Canis lupus familiaris: one gene and its partners. The protein of the gene in region 3 interacts with the protein of the main gene of each other region in a biochemical or structural test. Links are inferred from orthologs where the notes say so. Each region holds a gene or a part of one and is shown on either strand. Other genes may lie near its edges.

The links. The genes of interacting proteins can lie anywhere in the genome.
Region 1: the proteins of DLAT (region 3) and PDK2 form a complex in vitro, tested with the Homo sapiens proteins (2 studies listed by BioGRID). The link is inferred for Canis lupus familiaris from reciprocal best matches to the Homo sapiens genes DLAT and PDK2.
Region 2: the proteins of DLAT (region 3) and PDHB form a complex in vitro, tested with the Homo sapiens proteins (2 studies listed by BioGRID and IntAct, with this or other methods). The link is inferred for Canis lupus familiaris from reciprocal best matches to the Homo sapiens genes DLAT and PDHB.

Annotation. Positions count from the first base shown.
Region 1 is NC_049230.1:26,048,831-26,056,009, reverse strand, and holds the start of PDK2 (pyruvate dehydrogenase kinase, isozyme 2), read right to left. Parts: upstream 4,770-7,179; 5' UTR 4,730-4,769; coding exon 4,612-4,729; intron 2,712-4,611; coding exon 2,570-2,711; intron 1-2,569. UniProt on the Homo sapiens protein: Kinase that plays a key role in the regulation of glucose and fatty acid metabolism and homeostasis via phosphorylation of the pyruvate dehydrogenase subunits PDHA1 and PDHA2.
Region 2 is NC_049241.1:32,435,747-32,443,043, reverse strand, and holds the start of PDHB (pyruvate dehydrogenase E1 component subunit beta, mitochondrial), read right to left. Parts: upstream 4,770-7,297; 5' UTR 4,707-4,769; coding exon 4,665-4,706; intron 4,582-4,664; coding exon 4,528-4,581; intron 2,957-4,527; coding exon 2,849-2,956; intron 2,758-2,848; coding exon 2,695-2,757; intron 2,595-2,694; coding exon 2,559-2,594; intron 2,158-2,558; coding exon 1,872-2,157; intron 1,477-1,871; coding exon 1,366-1,476; intron 364-1,365; coding exon 272-363; intron 1-271. UniProt on the Homo sapiens protein: The pyruvate dehydrogenase complex catalyzes the overall conversion of pyruvate to acetyl-CoA and CO(2), and thereby links the glycolytic pathway to the tricarboxylic cycle.
Region 3 is NC_049226.1:21,101,713-21,108,405, forward strand, and holds part of DLAT (dihydrolipoyllysine-residue acetyltransferase component of pyruvate dehydrogenase complex, mitochondrial), read right to left. Parts: intron 6,405-6,693; coding exon 6,297-6,404; intron 2,189-6,296; coding exon 2,073-2,188; intron 1-2,072.

The DNA.
Region 1 (7,179 bases), on a different chromosome or scaffold from region 3:
ACTGCCATCCGCTTGTATTGACAGTTCCATGCACTAACTGTGGTGTTTGCCCTTAGAAACAGAATGGAGCCCATTTTACAGGTGAGGAAGCCAAGGCTCAGGGAGGCCAGAGGGTTTGCTAAGGATTAAGTGTCCAGCAAGCAGCAAAGTCGAGCCTCAAAGTCAGGTGGACACTGCCACCAATGGCCAGGGCTTCCTACTATCTTCCAGTCACTTCCAAAACAGGCTCCCTCCGCACCAGGTCTGTCTGGTTGAAACAATTTATCAGGCTTATTTAAAACCAGGAATGCTCAACTTGTCCACAGTGAGTCTTGCCTAGAGCCTCTCTGCAGCTGAGGAAAAACTCCATTAGCCATCAGCACATCTTATCGCTACTACTGCAAATAGCATTTGTACCAGACTTTTCCATTTTCCAAAGGGGAGCATTTGCTACTTACTCATCAGACTCTGAGGGTAGTGGTCCTCTTGCCGGGCTCCTTGGTGCGGTGTCCCCCCTCCTCTCGTGCAAACCCTACCCACCTGTACCACCTCTACATCCAAGCTGGCAATGGGCTCTCCTGGAGGAGGTCTGCACTCTCTCACAGGCGGCCACCTTGTCCCCATCAGAAAGTCCCTCCTCCTCTCAGACCTCACTCTCTTGCTGCAGCCCATGATGCCCATTCTCTGGAAACAACTTCAGCAGGCTTTGGTCAGTGCATCAGGACACTCCAGCAATTCCACGGCCTGTTCTCCACTAAGCTGAATCCACTGGGAAGTGTTTTCTCTTGTGTAACTTCACTCCATCCTGCTGTTGCTGGACATTTCCTCCCTCGAAGCTTGGAAGTAATGACCAACACAATCCCACACACATGTAACTGATTTCCAGGAATGGCCTCTGCAGGGGCCTGGGGCTTCATGGGCAGTTAGGCAGCTCCCTGCTCCCCCACACCCCAACACACATCCCCTGGCTCTCCTAGGAACACAGCGTCCAGGGAGGGGCCCGAGAGGGCCTGTCCTGGAGTCAGGGGCCCGCTGGAGAGGCAGCCAGGCCAGTCAGCCAAGCAGAGCTGGAGGAGGAGTGGGCAAACAGATGGCACCTTCTGTCTCCTCCCCGTGACTTCCCTACCACCCTGCAGTGGGAAATGCTGGTTGGCTCAGATGTCCTGGACTTCTGAGGGCCAGAGCCCAGCGGGGGGTGACCTGGTTGAGCTATAGGAATGCCAGGCCCTGCCCACTACCCCATCCCCTTCACAGCTCGCACCGAAATCGCTACAGGCACAGAGTGAGGTTGTGGAGGCCCTCACTGGGCCCTTACCTGCCTCCACACCCTGGCACAAGCAGTTCCAAGGCCTGGAATGCCCATCCTTTCCTTCTAGGTCTAGGCTCACTCAGGCACCCTGTAAGGCCCAGAGACATGCCACCTCCTCCATGCATCCATTCCAACTTCCCTACAACTCTCCGATTCAACTAACATTCACTGTGCGCCTATTATGTGCCTGGCCTCCCGCACAAAACACTTTTCTTACCGTGTCTCATTAAGTCAGAGTAAGTCCTGCATATGCATATTCATCCATAGAAACAACGCTGGAAGGGCACCAATAAAATCTTACCAAACTCTAAGTGTTTGGTCATGGGGTGGAAGGCAGTGGTTGGCATTCTCTTCCGTTTTCCTATGTTTTCCAAGTATCAAAGGGGACATGTTACACTTCCACAGTGAGGAGGAAAAGAACCCCAATTTTGTTACTTTTAAATACTAGTTTGACTCTTAAGTAAAAGTAGCTCTTTAGCAGCTCACTGCTCCTACCACCATCCACCATCCTGGGCTCTCAGTTTACCCACCCTTCTGCTCCCCACAAGATCACAGGCTCCCCGAGGGTAGCCACTGCTACTGCTTTACTGTTCCCAGCGTGGAGCTGGCTCATGGCAGGTGTAGGCCCCTGCTCCTGAATCCATAGGGAACCATAGTTATACCACACCATTGCCAGAAGAACTAGCAAAGGGTTTCTGCACAGGTGCCACCAAAGGCCAACCAGATTAACCATTTGCATGCCAGTCACACAGCAAACTCCTCTTTGTTCTTCATGTGACCAGCCGTTGGTTAATGTCATCTAGTTACCTAACCTGGGACAGAGTTCTAGAGTGACCTTTACAGAGGATTTTCTGCTGCTACTGCTGTGATTTTTGGTCTTTGCCCCTCCAAAGTTCTCGGGGGCAGGTACTGTGCCATCTTTGTGTCTGTTTTCCAACATGACTGGTAGCTTGGATCATATAATTTGAAAATTCATTTCTCCCTGTTTCTGTTTGTCTACAATGTTGCCTTGTTTTGGTTGGGATCCTGGGTTTCTAGAGAAAGAAGACTGGTAAGTATAGGGCTAGCCCACAGGCATGGAGGCTAGGAACTTTATCTCAGGCCCTGCTCTGGCTTAGCATTCCACTTGGCCTTGGGCAACTCTTCAGCCTTTTAGAGCCCCTGTGACTCCCCTCTGTGCCCACCTCCCTCAAGGCTGCCAGGAGCACAGAGATTCTGGGAGCCTAGCAGCATCTAGCAGTAGAATGAAAGGAGGTGCAGGGACCTGGCCAGGGGTCTCACCAGCTTTGGACCAGCTGCACCGAGGGTGTGCTCAGCACTCGGTCGGGAAGCAGGTTGATCTCCTTCATGATGTTGGCCAGGCGCACAGGCAGCTCCTGCCTGAGGAAGGTGAATGAAGTTTTCTCACAGGCATTGCTGGACCCTGGAGGGAGAGAGAGAAGTGAGCCAACAGAGCTGCAAACCACTGGAGCCAGAGGTCATCTCAGGGATCAGGACAATTAAATCTTTCATTTCCTGAGGGTTCAGAGAAGTGATCAGGGCACAGAGCCAGGCAGCTCTCCTAATCCCCTGTAGTGCTCCCACCTCCACACCACCCTGCCTAATCAGGCCTGGCCTTGTGTCCCCTCCCCTACCCCCTGCTGGCCTTCAACCGCAGGGGATAGGGCCACTTCCAGGCCTACCTGGAGCCACCTCTGGCCTCAGTTACCTCACTTCTTCACTTTCTGTCTCTCTTAGCAAATACTTGCTTTGTGGAGTGGAAGGGGAGAGGTGGATCCGGGTGGGCAGAGGAGCCTGGGAAAACCATCCTTTCCCAGGTCTGGGCCTGCCTAAGGGATGCTATGCCTCGACCACAGCAGCTACAGGGACCCAGTGTCATTTCTGGCCCAGTCCATCTTTACCCAGGCTGGTCTTGATGACCACTGTAGAGTTGTCCTTATGTTAATGCTCATGTGTGAGGCACACAGGGCCCAAGAATGAGAACCCAAGTACCTTGGTCCTTGGTCTGGCTTCAAGATGAAGATGGGGTGGTAGACTGAGGCCATGGCCTAGAGTCAGAAGACCTAGATGCTAGTCTAAGTTCTGCTTCTGAGCCTGCCACCTAGGGCATGTGACTACCCTTCTGAAGATCTCTTTCCCCCACTGTACTACAAGTGGACCAAACGCTACTGTGAACCCCACCTGGCCCATTTATATAAGCAGGGTCCAGTTTAAACCGGACAACTACTGGTGGCTAGGAATGGGCCCTGGGGGCTTTCCTACTCTGGAATAGCTCAAGTAGGGCAGGGGGACAGGCAGACAAGTCCTGGGGAACAGGGGCCCTCTGTCCTACTGTCACTTCCCCACCCCCCTCCCATCAGTGACGCAGCTGTAACTTGAGCCAGGCACTGTCTCTTCAACTCCTAAGAGACCTGGGCACCCCCTCCTAATCCCCAGCTGGCACCGTGGAAATACCGCGTAGACAGACAGGGCCCACACAATGCCTGTTTCAGTGGCTACATTGGCACAGCCTTGCTTCTGCTCCAGAGGCCCCCCCAGAGCGTTGCTGGTGGGTGATCCTGGCCCAGGAAGCTAGGGGCAGCCAAGGCTGCCAGCCTCCTGACTCCACCTCATGGTGCTCCAGGCCTGCGCCCTGTTGGGGACAGGAAGCCAGGCCCAAACAGATTTGCTCTTCAAGTGTCCTTGCCTACTGGGACAGCTCGGGGCCCGCTCCTTCAGGGGGTGGAGGTATACTGATCATCGACCTCCTTCCTGCTGACATTTTCTGAAAGAGCGGGGTCCCCACCTGACCCCGGGGTGCCCAGCCCAGCCCAGATCTCCTTCCAGATGTCTGCATCTACTAATCTTGCCTTGTTACTCCCACCAGCATCCCCACCCCATTTCCTCTCCATCTCCAGACTCTTTGAGTCACTAGGACAACCACCATTAACCCTTTTTGTCTGGATATACCCCACTCCCTTCTGGCCCTAACATCACCACCTTGCCTGACTGTCCCTTACTCTGCAAGACCTCTGCACAGTCCAGCAAGACACTGGGACCCCTCCTTCTCAGTGCCCCCACTTCCCACTGACAGCCCGGTAGAGAGCTCTCCCCCAGGGTACCTTAACCCTTTCAGGGCCGGCCCCTGCCCCACCCCACGCCTTAACCCTTCCCTGCCTGGACCCCTCCCAGCAACCCTTCCCAGTCACGCAGGGCCTCTCTTCTCCGCGTTGATCCTTCAAGACCAGGGTCTCCCTCACTCACCGCCCCCCCCGCGCCCCGCTGGCCCCCAAGTCCAGCCGCCACCCCACCCCACCCCACCCCACCCCCCGCCCACTCCCTACCGAAGTCCAGAAACTGCTTTATGGACAGCGGGGACGGGGAGAACTTGCTGAAGTGCTCGATGTACTTGGGCGCCCCTGCGAGGGACGCGTTCTTCAGCAGCGCGCGGACCCAGCGCATGGCGGCGGCGGCGGCGGCGGCGGCGGCCGCGGCTCGGGCTCCGGCTCGGGCTCCGGCTCGGGGTCCGGTCCCCACCGCGAGCGGCGCGGCCGCTTGGCTCGGCTCGGCCCAGCCCGGCCGGCACACGGGACCCGCCGCCTCCTCCCCGCCCCGGCCCGGGCGGTCCTCCCCGCCCCGGCCAATCGGCTTGCCGCGGCGCCCCGGCGGCGCCAATGGGCGCTCACAAACAACCCGGGCCGAGCCAATCGCCTCTCGCCCCGGCACGTGGCTCCCCTGGGCCCGCCCCCTTAACCCCGTCCTCGCCCGGGCGGCCTGTTGTTTTCGGGAGGCCGCGCGGAGAGTCCGCCTCCCGCGCGCTCGCTCCGCCCGTGCCCCCTCCCGGCCGAGCCCCGCTCCACCCCAGGCTCCGCCGACGTCGGTCGTTCCTGCCTGTCCCCGGCCTCTCCCGCGCCCCCCGCCCCCAAATCTCCGGGACTCGCCTTCCCTGCGATCGTCTGGGCAGCTTTCAACGAATCCCTTCCCTCCCGAAGGGACCTGTTCCAGCTGCTCTTCCCCGCTTGCGCTCCCTGGGGGGACGGGTCACTGTCATCCAGACTGGGAAAGTTTGCAAACTTCGGGGTCAGGATGCACGCCCGTGCTAACCCTCCGTGTAGACAAGCACCCCAGCACTTCCACAAAGATCCAAGCGGCTCCGGAAAACACGGCGCCCAGAGTGGAAACCCCAACGCAGGCCTGGCGGCGGCGGGGGCACCCTTAACATCGGCGCTGGGAGTGCAGTTCTCAACACTTTAATTATTCTCTAATCATTTGACCTTAGAAAGCGACCATCTTCGCACTGGGGTTCCTTAGAGAGAGGTCCTGGCAGGTGATCTGCGCGGGGGACCTGGGAGCCATTCCTGCGCCAGCGTCCTGCGCTCTCCGGCTCTCTCGCAGGAAAGGAGCGCGAGTTCTTGCGGTGGAACGTGGTACGTGCTGACCCCCGCCTTTCCCTTTGATGTCCCCCCTTCTTCACTGTTCGCTCCCTGGGCCGCACCGACCAAGTGCCCGATATGTGCTGGGCTTTGTGCTGAGAACAGGAAAACCACAAAGGATAAGGAAGTAGTTTTTTCCCTCAGCCATTTGTTTTCTCAGTTTGGGAGGTAGCGGCCTAAGTAAATAGGTCGTTACTGTGTAACAGAATGTGATTACGGTCAACACCAGCTGTGCCCAAGGCTTTGCCACGGAAGGGACTCTTAACTGAATAATAGCCTGCGTACCAGGCACTGTTTGCATACATTAGCTCCTTTAATTCTCCAGGTGTCTCTCTTGTGCTTTATTATCCCCATTATATAGATGAGGAAACTGAGGCTCAGGGATCATTCTCAAAAGCAAATCTGAACTTGTTTACAGACTTTTTCAGGGGCTCTCTTACTGGAGGCTTTCCAGCTCTTGCACGATCTGCTTTGGCTTAAGTCTCCAGCCTCCTCTCTCCACGTCGCCCTGCTTGACTCCCAGCCATACTTATCTACCGCCTTGAGCAACCTCCAGGCTCCAAACCGTTGCAAATGCTGTCTCTTCTGTCTGGATAATTCTTTCTCCTCACTGCCTATCCATTCTTCAAGGCTCTGACCCTGCCAGGCTGGGTTATGGGCTCCCTCTAAAGGCTTCTTAGACCTCCCCAAACTTTTCTTTAAAGATTTTATTTATTTATTCATGAGACACAGAAGGAGAGAGAGAGAGAAAGAGAGAGAGAGAGAGATCAGGCAGAAGGAGAAGGAGGCTCCATGCAAGGAGCCGGATCCCGGATCCCAGGATCACTCCTTGAGCCAAAGGCAGACGCTCAACCACTGAGCCACCCAGGTGTCCCAGACCTCCCCAAACTTAACACCATTTGGCTCTTATCAAATCTGGAAATCTGGAAATCGTTTGCTGACTCATCTGTCTCCTCCACTAGACTTTAAACTCCAGGAGGGCAGGGCTGTCTGTGTCTGTGTAATTCACTGCTCTATCTCCAGCACCAGGCACATAGAAGGGAAAAGAGCATGAATAAAGAATTGGGACCACCAGGGAGGCATGCCACAGAGTTATCAGGGAGGACCACCGAATATCCTTCCAGCAAGCAATTAAATCATGCACTATGTTGGTGAGTCAGTCTTCAAGTTGCCCAGAGGAGCATACAGGATGCTTGCGTGTAAAAAGCCCAGTCCTGTACCTGGCACATAGTAAATAATCAATAACAGCTATTACTGTTGTCCAAATTTAAGCAAGGAGGGGCACCTGAGTGGCTCAGTCGGTTGAGCATTGGACTCCTGGTTTTATCTCAGGTCATGTTCTCAGGGTCATGAGATTGAGCCCCATGTTGAGCTCATAAAGGTATCTGCTTGAGGATTTTCTCCCTCTGCCCTTCTCCGTGTGCATGCTCTCTCTCCCTCTCTCTCTGTCTCTCTCTCAAATAAATAAATAAAAAGATA
Region 2 (7,297 bases), on a different chromosome or scaffold from region 3:
TCCTGGACATGAAAAGGTTAGACACTGATTTCTAAGATTCCCTGTGTCCCAACCTCTAGCTCCAAGGCTGGATCCCAGCTTGAGAAAGTAAGTACTATTCTAAAAATAGGTATTTGAAAAGCAAGAAGGTTCCCAGCTTTAAGCAAAAGTGAGTGACAAAGCAAGATTTTACACTTAGTTATTAACCTGTTACAGAATTCAAACTCCTATTTCTGGGTCTTAAATTTAAAAGGAAACTTTCTGATTCTTTAAGAAGTGAATGTCTACATACCTCACATTCAATACCCTCTTTGGATAACACTGTTGCAGCTTCTAAGCAGTGGCCCACAGGTCTTGAATGAGCAACTACAGTTATGTGTGTACCTGAAACAGAGTGGTCACAGGTCAGAGACCAGGTTGAAACTAAAGCTGTTGTACTGCTCCACAGCCATTGTGGCTCTTGTTCATTTATAAAATTCAACTCTGTTCCAGTGAGGTGAGGAATGTGATAGCCTTCCTAAAAATGAAATACAAATCTACTGGACTGAGAATCAGGAAAGCACAAAAGTTTATGAGGAAAGTGTAACACATTTCTTCATTTCTTTTTTCTCAAGATTTTATTTGAGAGGAGGAGAGAGCACATGTGTGCGAGAGCAGGAGCATGTGAGGAGCACAGGGAGAGAGAGAAAGAGAGAGAGGGAGATCATTTTCAGCACCCTCCATGCTGAGTGCAGAGCCTGACATGGGGCTTGATCCCAGGACCCTGAGATCATGACCTGAGCCAAACCAACAGCTGGACACTTAACTAACTGAGCCACCCAGGTGCCTCAACATGATGGATTTCTTTTCTTTTCTTTTCTTTTTTTTTAAAGATTTATTTATTTATTTATGATAGGCATAGAGAGAGAGAGAGAGAGAGGCAGAGACACAGGAGGAGGGAGAAGCAGGCTCCCTACCGGGAGCCCAACACGGGACTGGATCCCGGGACTCCAGGACCGCGCCCTGGGCCAAAGGCAGGCGCTAAACCACTGAGCCACCCAGGGATCCCCAACATGATGGATTTCTTAACTTGATAATTTCCTAACCAAAGTAAAGGGCAGGAACTTCAAGAATGAATCGTTCGACCAGGGTGCCTGGGTGGCTCACTTAAGTGTCTGACTTTTGATTTCAGCTCGGGTCATGAAGATTGTTAAGACTGAGCCTGGAAAAAAAAAAAAAAAAGACTGAGCCTGGGTTGGGCTCCCTGCTGGGCATGGAGGTTGCTTAAGATTCTCTCTCCCTCTGGCCCTCCCACACTTCTTGGAAAAAAAAAAAAAAAAAGAATTTGACAAACATAAATACAGGAGCTAGATTACAAATACTTTAGCATGTACTAAGTGCTCTTACCTTGCCTTTCTATTTTGGCTTTTCCAATGGGAATCAGAAAATCTTTTGACTGAGCTTCGGAGGGAAATTCAAAAGGAACTCCATACATCAGTTCGTTCTCTAGCACCACCACTACAAAATACAAATGTTTAACAGAACTAACTACATGACCAAATGTATATACATAACTATCATTCATTTTGTGCAAAGTTTCACTGTGCAGATTAGGAAGCCTCCTATCTATTGTGTCCAGTAGCCCTGAGAGGATGGTTTAGGTACTGGCATCTATAGTCTGGTCAGTCCTAATTTTATCTATTGTAGTTAAAATGGTGTTGTAGGTACCTAATAGGCCCCATATAGTCAGAAAAGCAAAAACAACACCTTTTTAATGGTCTTTGCTGTATCTGTAAATCATAACATTTTATATGTCTAAGCCTAACTAGAACCCTTAAACGGCTTCCTTCCAGGCAAAGATTTCAACTTAGTTCCTCAATGTTCAAAAGAGACCCAAGGCTCACTCTACTGACCTGGATTATTATCCCGAATGGCTGATTTAATAAGTCCTTTTGCATCCTCTGAATTCCAGGGGCTGACCACCTTTAAGCCTGGGCAGTGCCCATACCAGGCAGCAAAGCACTGTGAGTGTTGGGCAGCCACACCTGCTGAGGCACCATTGGGCCCCCTGAAGACTATAGGCACAGGCTGAAGGCCCCCCGACATGTAGTAGGTCTTGGCAGCTGAATTTATAACTTGGTCAATGGCTTGCATAGAGAAATTGAAGGTCATAAATTCACAGATGGGCCTCAACCCAGCCTGTCAAATAAAAAACAGAGATCTTAGAAAAACTAAAAAGCAATAAAAAGTGGCAACCACTCCAAACTTCAATGTTTTTAAAAGGTCATGTTAAAAGAAATCTCTTTAGGATTAAAGGGGAAAGGAGAGAAAATGAGTGGGAAGTATCAGAGAGGGTGACAGAACATGAGAGACTCCTAACTCTGGGAAACCAGCAAGGGGTGGTGGAAGGGGAGGTGGGCAGGTGGGTGGGGGGATGGGGTGACTGGGTGATGGGCACTGAGGGGGGCACTTGACGGGATGAGCACTGGGTGTTATACTATATGTTGGCAAATCAAACTCCAATAAAAAATACAAAAAAAATTTTTTTAATTATTAAAAAAAAATCTCTTTAGATGAGATTCATAAAGAGGATTACACACCATAGCTGCACCCACAGCAATTCCAGCAAAGCCCATCTAGAAGTAAAACACAAACACAAGTGAAAATCCATAAAAATCAGAACAGTGTACACTTTAACATGCCCCTGAAAAGTCTGCGTCCTGATGGAAGGCTCACCTCAGATATGGGAGTATCTATGATTCTCTTATCGCCATATTTCTTCCACAGGCCTCGACTAACCTAAAATTACACAATGATCTCATTACTTTTAAGTGTATATGGGGGCAAACAGCCACCTCAATTTATATCGCTTTCACATATCTTGGGTTACCTTATATGCACCATCATACTGGGCAACTTCTTCCCCAAGGAGAAATACCTTCTCATCTCTTTCCAGCTCTTCATCCATACCTTGGTTTATAGCCTCACGAACTGTCACCTGTCACAGGTATGGGGAAAACAGCCAATAAGCTACAGGATTATTTCAGATACTACTGAGATTCTCTCCTTTTATAATTACTAGGCTGCCTACAGCATACGGTATGAAAACTATCGCTAGGACAGGCTTCTCTTTAAAAGTTCAAAGAATCCCCCCCTCAAATAAATAAATAAAATCTTTAAAAAAATGAAAATAAAAGGTGAGGGGAGGGCACCTGGGTGGCTCAGTTGGTTAAGCATCTGCATTCAGCTCAGGACATGATCCCGGGATCCTGGGATTGAGCCCTGCAGTGGGCTCTCTGCTCAGCAGGGTCAGCAGGGAATCGGCTTCTCCCTTTCCCTCTATCTCTGCCCCCTGCTTGTGCCCCTTCTCTCTCTCTCTCAAATAAATCTCTAAAAAAAAAAAAAAAAGTTCAAAGAATTCTAAAAGTAACATTTTCATACACAGTCTTTGGCTGAATTTGTTAATGAAAATACTGAATGCTTTTCTTAATGTGCACCTAAACTTAACAAAAGCTGTTTGCTGGCCAGACCAGCTCAAGTTTCCTGAGTAAAAATTCTATTCAGTTGTTTTATTTCCACAGTCAGTGTAGTATGGGACAGAAAACTGTTAAGAAAGCCTAAATAAAACTATGTTTTGAGCACTCACTAGGTACTGGGAACTTCCAAACACTACCTTCAGAATCTACAAGTTATTTTACTAGACAGATTGAGAGTCCTCTAGTTAAAAAAAAGAAAAAAGAAAAAAAGGAGGGGGTACGGGGTAGGAAATTCCTCAAGTTGAACACAGAACTACTATATGATCCAACAATTCCACTTCTAGAGATGATCAAAAGAAATAAAAGCAGGGACTCAGATACTTGCACACCAGTGTTCTTAGCAGCATTATTCACAAATCCCAAAGGTGAAAACACCCACATGTCCATCAACAGACAGAATGGAGGAACAAGATGTGATATATGCATAAGATGGAATATTATTCAACCTTAAACAAAGAAATGAAATTCTGACACATGCTACAACATGAATGAACCTTGAAAACATATGTTAAGTGAAATAAACCGGATATAAAAGGACAAACACTGCAGGATTCCATTTCCAGGACACACCTAGAATAGATAAATTCAAAGGCACAGAAAGTGCCAAAGAGGTTACCGGGAGCAAGAGGGAAATGGGACGTTCGTGTTTAAGGGGTGGAGAGTTTCTGTGTGTGATGGTGATAAAGTTCTGAAGACCGATGGTGGTCATGGTCTCACAACATAGTAAACGGAAGTACTGCCGCTGAATATACACTTTAAAATGGTAAATCTGGTTATGTATATTCTACTTGAAAAATGTAAATGGGGCGGTTGAGGGAGGAAGCGCGAGGTCTAGTTTCCTCAGATCGCCCACAGATTCCAGTGAGCCTGGCCGGGGCGACTTGCTGGTGTGTCCGGCGCTGGGTCGCAACAGAGGCACTCGGAGTCCCACGCAGGATGTGGGAACCCGTGGACCTCAGGGCCCGTGCCGTCCCTGTCCCCACGGCGCAGGCGCGTCCCTCCCGGGATTCGGGCTAGCGCCCAGGCCACCTACCTGCAGCGCCGCCGGCGCCGTCCGGTGGAAGCGCCTCCTCAGCAACCCCGACACCTGGCGAAAAGAGAGAGAGAGGACGCTGAGAGGGGGCGCAAGGCGGGCAGAGACCACGCGGAGGCACGCATGCCGCTGCCTACCTGTTCCAGGGGTCTCCGCATCAGGCCAGACACCGCCGCCATCTTGACCGTGTCCTCCAGCCGCCGCCGAATGACAACACCGCAGGACCGCAGTCGCCTCAGGCTCCGCCTCCCGCGCCAGCTCAGGCCAATGGCAGCGCGCGGCGCCTGCGTGCCCCGCCCATCCGCTGCCGGGTGAGGGGCCGAGGGGCGGGGCCTAGGTGGCGCGTGGGGCGGTACTACCGCTGTTTCTGGGGCCGGGGCCAATCAACTTCCCGGGAGCGGGCGGCTGCTGCGGTGCGCGCTGCGCGGCGGGACGCGTCTGTAAGCGGTGCTGCCTGAGGCGCGGTGCCCGGAAGGCAGGTTCTGAGGAACGTTAGGTTGAGGCTGCGGGGACCTTCAGAGTTGGGTCAGCCTTTTGCGGGCACTGAAACCCGTAGGGCGCCAAGTGTCGCCTGCGCACGCTCTGAACGAGCCCGGTGGTCCCCGGGCCGGACCGTGCTGTCCGTCTGTTGCTCCCTGGAATGCGAACCGGAGTGTTCATCGAGGCATGAAGCGCCTACTGTGTGCCGGGCATCGTAGTAAGTGCTGTCCAGCTCCTGTAATTCTCACAGGAACCCTCCCGCGTGATGACTGTTACCTCCACTTTTCCTCAAGTCACTTCGGGTTGTCAGTCGTCAGAAAGTCCTTCATCCAGAATTTTCAATCTTTTTTTTTGTTTTTTGGTTGGTCATTTCAAGCGAAATGTGTTAAAGAGAGCTTTTCGCTTCCTCGACCACAGTAAAATGCACATTCCCCCACCACCTCAGAAAGTTCCCTCAACGTTTCCTCCCGATCGTTCCCCACACATCACCCCACAGGCAACCACAGATCTGATCGCCATCACCGTAACTTAATTTGCCTGTTTTAGAACTTGACGTAAAGGGAATTCTATCATTCTTGCGTCTCGCTCAGCAACATGTTTTTGTGATTCATCCATGTCGTTAAGTGTATCAATACTTTATTCCTTTTCTTTTTTTTTTTTTTTTCTTTTATATTCTTTATGCCCAACCTGGGGCTTAAACTCATGACCCTGGGATCAAGAGTCCCATGCTCTTCTGAGCCAGCCAGGCACCCCTCCTTTCTTTCTTTAAGTTTTCTTTTCTTTTCTTTTCTTTTGAAAGAGTTTAAGTGTCACAAGAAATTGTGAAACTGGTGCAAAGAGCATCCATGTGACCTTCAACTATCTTTGCCCAATATCTTGGATGACCATAGTACATTGTCAAATCCCCCAAATTGATAACGGTGCAATGCTCTTAACTCGGGTAGAGACTTTATACAGCATTCATCAGTTTTTTTTTTTAAATTTATTTATGATAGTCACAGAGAGAGAGAGAGAGAGGGGCAGAGACACAGGCAGAGGGAGAAGCAGGCTCCATGCAGGGAGCCCGACGTGGGACTCGATCCCGGGTCTCCAGGATCACGCCCTGGGCCAAAGGCAGGCGCCAAACCGCTGCGCCACCCAGGGATCCCCCATTCATCAGTTTTTATATGCATTCTGGCAGGGGTAGGAGGAGTGTAGTATTATAGAATTGTATTAGACGTACAGATTCACATAACTACTACCACAGCCAGAATACAGAATTGTTCCATCCCCACAAAGCACCTCCCTCCTGTTACCTCATTGTTACCTCCTCCACCCCTAACTCCTGGCAACCACTAATCTGTTCTCAATCACTATAATTTGTTATTTCAAGAATATTTCAACACAGAATCGTACAATATGTAACTCTTGGAGATTAGCTATTTCCACTCAGCCTAATGCTCTTGAAATCCATTCCAGTTGTTGCGTGTATCAACGTTTCTTTATATCTCTAAGTGGTTGCATGTTTATCCATTCACTCCTTGAAGGACATTTGGTTTGTATCCAGTTTTAGCTATTACCAATAAACCTGCAATGAACACTGGCTTTTTAAACATTAGTTTTCATTTCTTCAGGTAAATACCGAGCAGTATGATTATATTGGAGTGTTTTTCCACGGTGGCTATACTATTTTTTTTTTTTAAGATTTTATTTGTTCATGAGAGACACAGAGAGGCAGAGACACAGGCAGAGGGAGAAGCAGGCTCCACGCAGGGAGCCCGACATGGGACTGATCCCGGGTCTCCAGGATCACACCCTGGGCCGAAGGCGGCGCTAAACCACTGAGCCACCCAGGCTGCCCCAGAGTGGCTATACCATTTTACATGACCTCCAGCAAAGTATGAGACATCCAGTTGCACTAAATGCTTGCCAGTGTGTGATATTATCAATATTTTCTATTTTAGCCATTGTAATACATGTGTAGCAGTGTCCCTCATGACTTTAATTTACATTTCTCTAATGGTTAATTATTAAACATCTTTTCATATGCTTTTCTGCCATCCATCCTTGATGAAGTGTCTGTTCTTTTGTTCGTATTCTAATTAGATTGGTTTTTATTGTGGTAAAATATATATCACATAAAATTTACCACTTTAAGCATATAGTTCATTGGCATTTAATATGTGCATATTGTTGTTCAATCACCACCACTATCCATTTCCAGAACTTTCTCTCTTTTCTTTTTACTTTTAAATAATCTCTACACCCAGTGTGGGGCATGAATTTAGGATAAGGATCAGGCATGATCCTG
Region 3 (6,693 bases):
GACCCTGAGATCATGACCTGAGCCAAAGGCAGATGCTTAACCAACTGAGCCACCTAGGCGCCCCATCAATCTGACCTTATTTAGTAAAAAGATCTTTGTGGGTTAATTAGGATCTTGAGATGAAATCATCCTGAATTATCTGGGTGGTCCCTAAATCCAATGCCAAGTGTCCTTGTAAGAGACAGAGAAGAAGGCCATGTGAGATTAGAGTTATGTTGCCACAATCCAAGGAATGCTAGAGCTACCCAAACTGGAAAAAGCAAGAAAGATTCTCCCCTAGAGCCTATGGAGGTTTGCAGCCATACTAACACCTTGCTTTTAGACTTCAGGCCTTCAGAAGTAGGAGAGAATAAATTTTTGTTTTAAGCCACCCATTTAGTGGTCATTTATAATAGAGGCCCTAGGGGGTGCCTCCCAGGGTCCTGGAGTCGAGTCCCGTATCCTCTCTCTGTGTGTCTCTCATGAATAAATAAATAAAATCTTTTATAATAGAGGCCCCAGGAAATAATATAGTCCATAAGGAATAGTTAGACCCTCAGATGTTCTCTAAGAGATGGATGACCAAGCAAAGTAGGTTACCTGTTACGTTTGACAGGCTTGGAAAATGGTTTAGTGTTCTCTTGGAAACTTTTAGAAAGAACTGATGATGAAGGAGTGCATAGCCCCTTCTTAGACAAGCATTAAGATCAGTTTGGTCAGTATTCACAGCATACATGTCTTAATCATAAATAATATTTTCATAGGCATAAAAATATTAATACTGATTTATCCAGAATTTGTGCTATAATCGATTTGGCAGGATAACAGTGTGTGTGTGTGTGTGTGTGTGTGTGTGTGTGTGTAGGGTACAAAAAAGCTAAATTTTAATCTTCACTGATATCAAATCAGCTGATAAAATGAAAAATCCATAAAAGGAAACAGGAAAATGTTATTTAATAATATGAAGATAGAGGTGCCTGGGTGGCTCAGTCGATTAGGCATCTGACTCTTCATTTCCGCTCAGGTCATGATCTCAGGGTTGAGAGATCAAGCCCCATGTCAGGATCCCTGCTGAGCATGGAGCCTGCTTAGGATTCTCTTCCTCTCCCTCTCATGCTCTGCCCCTGCTCATGCTGTCTCTCTAAAAATAAAATCTTAAAAAAAAAAAAAAAAAAAAAGTCGTATTTGCCTCTTGAGAGTAGACCACAGATTAAAAGTTAAATAGGGGATCCCTGGGTGGCGCAGCGGTTTGGCGCCTGCCTTTGGCCCAGGGCGCGATTCTGGAGACCCGGGATCGAATCCCACGTCGGGCTCCCGGTGCATGGAGCCTGCTTCTCCCTCTGCCTATGTCCCTGCCTCTCTCTCTCTCTCTCTCTCTCTCTGTGTGTGTGACTATCATAAATAAATAAAAATTAAAAAAAAAAAATAAATAAAAGTTAAATAGGTCACTGTAAGCCACAAAGCAATATTCTAATGTATATACTATTATTTTATATAATATAAAAAAATCTACATAGTAGAAGAAACCTAGGTGCAGAAGTCAGAATCTTGATTCCAATCACAGTTTTGCTACTTACTATAACATATTAATTCAAGCAAAGTTATTTAACTCATTGAACCCTCAGTTTCTTCACCTGTAAAATAGAAGTGAAAGCCCTAGTTCATAAGGTGGTCCTAAGGATTAAAATGAGACATGGGAAGACACTGAGCACCATGCCACTCACAATGCCACCATAATATTAACAAATATGCTTCTTGGTTTTGTTTTCAATTTGCTCCCATTAGAATTCAGCAGAACTAATTGGTGAGCAAAAATCATTTCAACCCTGCTTTATAACAGTTATCAACTTAATTATTCACATCTGTAAACTTATCTGCCTCTCTAAACTCGTAGAATTTGTAGTCTTCACTAACTAAATTTAGCCTTATCTTATAAATAGTTTTACATTGTTTTCAAACTGTTTTGCCTATGGAAGTCATCTCCCTCCCTGTATTCCATTTCTCCTTATCCCCTATATTCCTAGTTACATGTGAGATAGCACAAGAAATCTGCTGGTGGATACATATACCTTGACCAGCAGTATCTTACTTACTGTCTTATAACTGTGTCCAGCCAAGAGGAATTTGCTTCAGGAACTTTTAAACATGCCAAAGCTGAAGCTTTTATGATGAAGTCATTGACAGAAATTTTGCTTCTCCCTTCTAACATCTGCAAAGACAAGAAACCATCGTAGTTTCTTAAACTCTCTTCCCAAACACTGAAACATAACCTCTGGCAGGGACTTGGGGGGGGGGGGGGGGGAGAATACAAATGTCCTGAGGTATAAAGGATGAAATGAAATTAAAAGTTGGTTTTTTCATCTTTTTAATGTAGGCCTTTTTGTAGGTCTTTAATGTAGGTCTGTAGCTATAAGCCTCCTACTAAGTCCTGCTTTAGCAGTATCCCTTAAGTTATGGTATGTTATGCCTTCATTTTCACTTATCTGAACAAAACCAAAAGTTGGTTCCGTGAAAAGATCAACAAAATGATAAATGTTCAGCTAGACTGACAAAGAAAAAAGAAGACTCATATTTCTAATCAGAAATGATGTGGGACGTTACTACATAACCTACCAAATAAATTGTAAGGTAATGCTATAACAATTATCCCACAAATTAGATAATTTAGATGAAATGGAAAATTCCTAGAAAGATACAAGCTGCCAAAACTGAATCAAAAAGGAATAAAACCTCTGAATTGATCTGTAACTAGTAATAGAGACTGAATAATTTTAAAAATACCCACACAGAACAACTTAGACCCAGATGACTTCCCCAAATGGTGAATTCTGCTAAACATCTGAAGAATATCAATTCTTCACAAAATCTTCCAAAACACAAAAGAAGGAGCACTTCTCCACTCATTCTGACACACCAGTATTAACCCAATACCAAAACCAGACCAAGATATCACAGTAAAAAAAAAAAAAAAAACACACACACAAAAAACAAAACCCAGAAAAAATAAAACTCAAATACCTAGGAATACAGATCCAAAAACCCTCAAAAAAATTCTAGCAAACCAAATCCAGCAATATATGAAAAGGATTATTCACCACAGCCAAATGGAATTTGTCCCAGAAATGCAAGGTTGGTTAACATCTGAAGATCAATTAATGTAATAATGTCAGAATATAGGACAAAAATCACATGACCATCTCAATAGACACAGAAAAAGCTTTTGAGCAAATTCAACTACCACTTCATAAAAACTAGGAATTGAAAAAAAAAAAAAAAAACAAACAAACTAGGAATTGAAAGGAACTTCCCACATCTCATGATAAAACAGATCTACAAAAGTCCCACAACCATCATCATTGTACTTTAGTGAAAGACTTACTTCCTCTTACGATCAAGAACAAGACAACTTCCAGTCAACATTTTACTAGATGTGCTAGCTGAAGAAGTTGGGTGAGAAAAGGAAATAAATGACATCCAAATTGGAAAGGAAAAAGCAAAATTATCTCTATTTGGAGACGAATGATTTTGCATATAGAAAATCTTAAAGAAAAAAAAAAAAAGAAAATCTTAACACTAAATAAAAAACAAGGTTTTAGGATACAAGAGCAATACACAAAAATCAACAGTATTGCTCTATAATAGCAATAAACACTCTGAAAATGAAATTTATAATAGTATTAAAAAGAATAAAATATCTAGGAATAAATTTAACAAAAGAAGTACAAAAACTTATACTTGAAAAACTGTACAAATTATTGAAAGAAGTGAAAGAAGACCTAAATAAATGGAAAGACACTCCATGGTCATGGAGTAGGAACAGTACTAAGAAGACAATACTCCCCAAATTATTTACAGATTCAATGAAATCCCTATTCCTACAGGAAATACCCAAAACAAGCAGATCTAAGACAAAAAGTAGGTAGTGATTATCTAGGGTTGGGGAAGATGGGAGGATTGGAGTGGGGGCTAAGGTAATGGGAGAATGATTTCATTTTGGGGTGATGAAAATGTTCCAGAATCCATTGTGATGGTCATAGAACTCAGGATATACTAAAAGCCACTGAATTGTAAACTTTAAGTGGCTGAATGGTATATGTGAAATGTACCTAAATAAAACTGTTAAAAAGAATAAAATAATACACTGGATGCATACTTTTCATGTCTAATTTTCAAATAGATTATAAAATAGCTTTACCATTTTGCTAGTAAAAGCATGCAATCATCTTTAAGCCATATAGCCAGTTACTACCTGTTAATGCTTCTTGCTTTATTCATTCATGCATCTAATATTTGAGTACTCTGTTCTAAAAATCCCTGGATATAAAGCAGTGGAAAAAAATGGGTAAAAATTCTACTCTTAGGGATCTTACATTCTAAAGGAGTAGACAGATAATAAATAAATGAAATATATAATATGTAAGATAATGTTAAAGAGAAAAAAACAGAGGAAAAGAACTAATGGGAAAACTGATTACTCACCCCATTCCTCTTCCCTTAATTTTAGAATAAGGTAACCAGGGAAGATGAGAGAAGGTGATACTGAGTCAAATCCTTAAGGTGGTAAAGGAAGAAACCAGGTGGATGCTAGGGGAAGAATATTCCATGCAGAGGGAACAGTACGTGCAAAGGGACTAAAGTAGGAGTATACAGGCAGAGTGTCGAGGAACAGGAAGACAATTTTTTTCGAGCAGAATGAGCAAGGAGTGGAGTGGAAAAGCAGGAGGTCAGAGAGGTTATAGATAACCTGTATAATGCTGAGTGCCACTGGCTTTTACTTTTCACTTCTTTGAAAACAGTTTTCATATCTCCTCCTACTCAATTCTTTTTTTTTTTAAGATTTTTTTTTTTTTTTTTTTTTTTTTTAAATTCATGAGACACACAGAGAGAGAGAGAGAGAGGTAGAAACACAGGCAGAGGGAGAAACAGGCTCCCTGCAGGAAGCCCGATTCGGGACTTGTTTTGGGAACCCAGGACCACGCCCTGAGCCAAAGGCAGACAACCACTGAGCCACCCAGGTGTCCCTCCTATGCAATTTTTTTTTTTTTTTAAAGATTTTATTTATTTATTCATGAGAGACACAGGCAGAGGGAGAAGCAGGCTCCATGCAGGGAGCCCAATGTGGGACTCGATCCTGGAACTCCAGGATCGTGCCCTGGGCTGAAGGCAGGCGCTAAACCGCTGAGCCACTGGGGCTGCCCACTTACGTCCTTTTTAAAAAGCATTTTGCCTTTATGATATTCCATCAGTATAATGAACTATCTTCAACTTCTTTGCCAATGCAAACCCTTCCTGTTCTCCATAGCTTAATCAAGTTTTTCCCACACCACTGTGAATTCCCCAACTACTTTTATTGGTGTCCTCCTTCTCTGAATTCCTAGAACACTTAACCTATACAGTGTAATTTAGCAGTCAAGGGGCATTACCATAAAGAAATTGACCTACCAACGGGTATTTTTACTTTAATAAAAATTGCCTCTTCTGTTTTTCACATGCATTATCTCCATTAGATTAAAAACTTAAGCTCATGGAGGACTATGACTTATGCTGTATTCCTAAAAGTGCCTCATGCTAAGCATAAGTAGGTAGTTGGTACTTAACTGTAAACAGAGTAAACATACTGTTTCTTATCTAGCCTCATAGAATCATAGTGATTGTGCTAGGCTAAAATGGATCCGTGGCAAAATCAACTTTATTTTTTTTTTTTAATCTTTTTTTTAAATTTTTTTTAATTTTATTTATTTATGATAGTCACATAGAGAGAGAGAGAGAGAGAGGCAGAGACATAGGCAGAGGGAGAAGCAGGCTCCATGCACCGGGAGCCTGACGTGGGATTCGATCCCGGGTCTCCAGGATCGCGCCCTGGGCCAAAGGCAGGCGCCAAACCGCTGCGCCACCCAGGGATCCCGCAAAATCAACTTTAAATGAGAAATTTTAATCAAGGGTTAGAAAACAAAAATTCTCCAAGATATTCTCTCAGCAAGTTAAAATTAAGAAGACAACTGGGATGCCTGGGTGGCTCAGTCAAGAGTCTGGCTCTTGATTTTGGCTCAGGTCATGATCTCAGAGTTGTAAGATCCAGCTCTGAGTCAGGCTCCGCTCTGGGTGTGGAGCCTGCTTGAGATTCTCTCTCCCTTTCCCTTGGCCCCTCCCCACCCACCAGTCTCCCACTCTTTAAAATAAATAAATAAATTTAGTAAGAGGACACCATTTTCCATCATCAACATACTGTCACAAAAAATATAGGTAAAAATGTAAATGTTTAGTGGGGAAAAACAAGAATTTTAGAATTTCAGAGTTGGAATTTCCAAACCTCTTACCTTATTAAGTTCTTTCCGTACCAACAAAACTTCTCCCATATTTACATCAATGGAAAGGTAATAATGAGGTATGGTTTGCTTAGACTGCATTAATCTCTGTGCAATAACCTGAAATCAAAGAGATTAAAACATCACTTATCTTAAGCTGAGGTGAGATTTTACCTAATGCAGGGCTCTGTTTGCCTCTTTACCCTGTTCCCTGGTAATGGCTACCTCAAACATTACCAGAACTAGAATATGGAATTGGAATATGCACCAAAACCTGGACTCCGTCTAGTAGTATCTATCAGAGCAATGTTTGTTTATCCCAAGTATTTATTTGGCCAAGCCAAACATCTACAACCAATCATCCAAATATCCCAAATAAAAAGTCTCTGGTAGTGTTTCAAACTGTGGA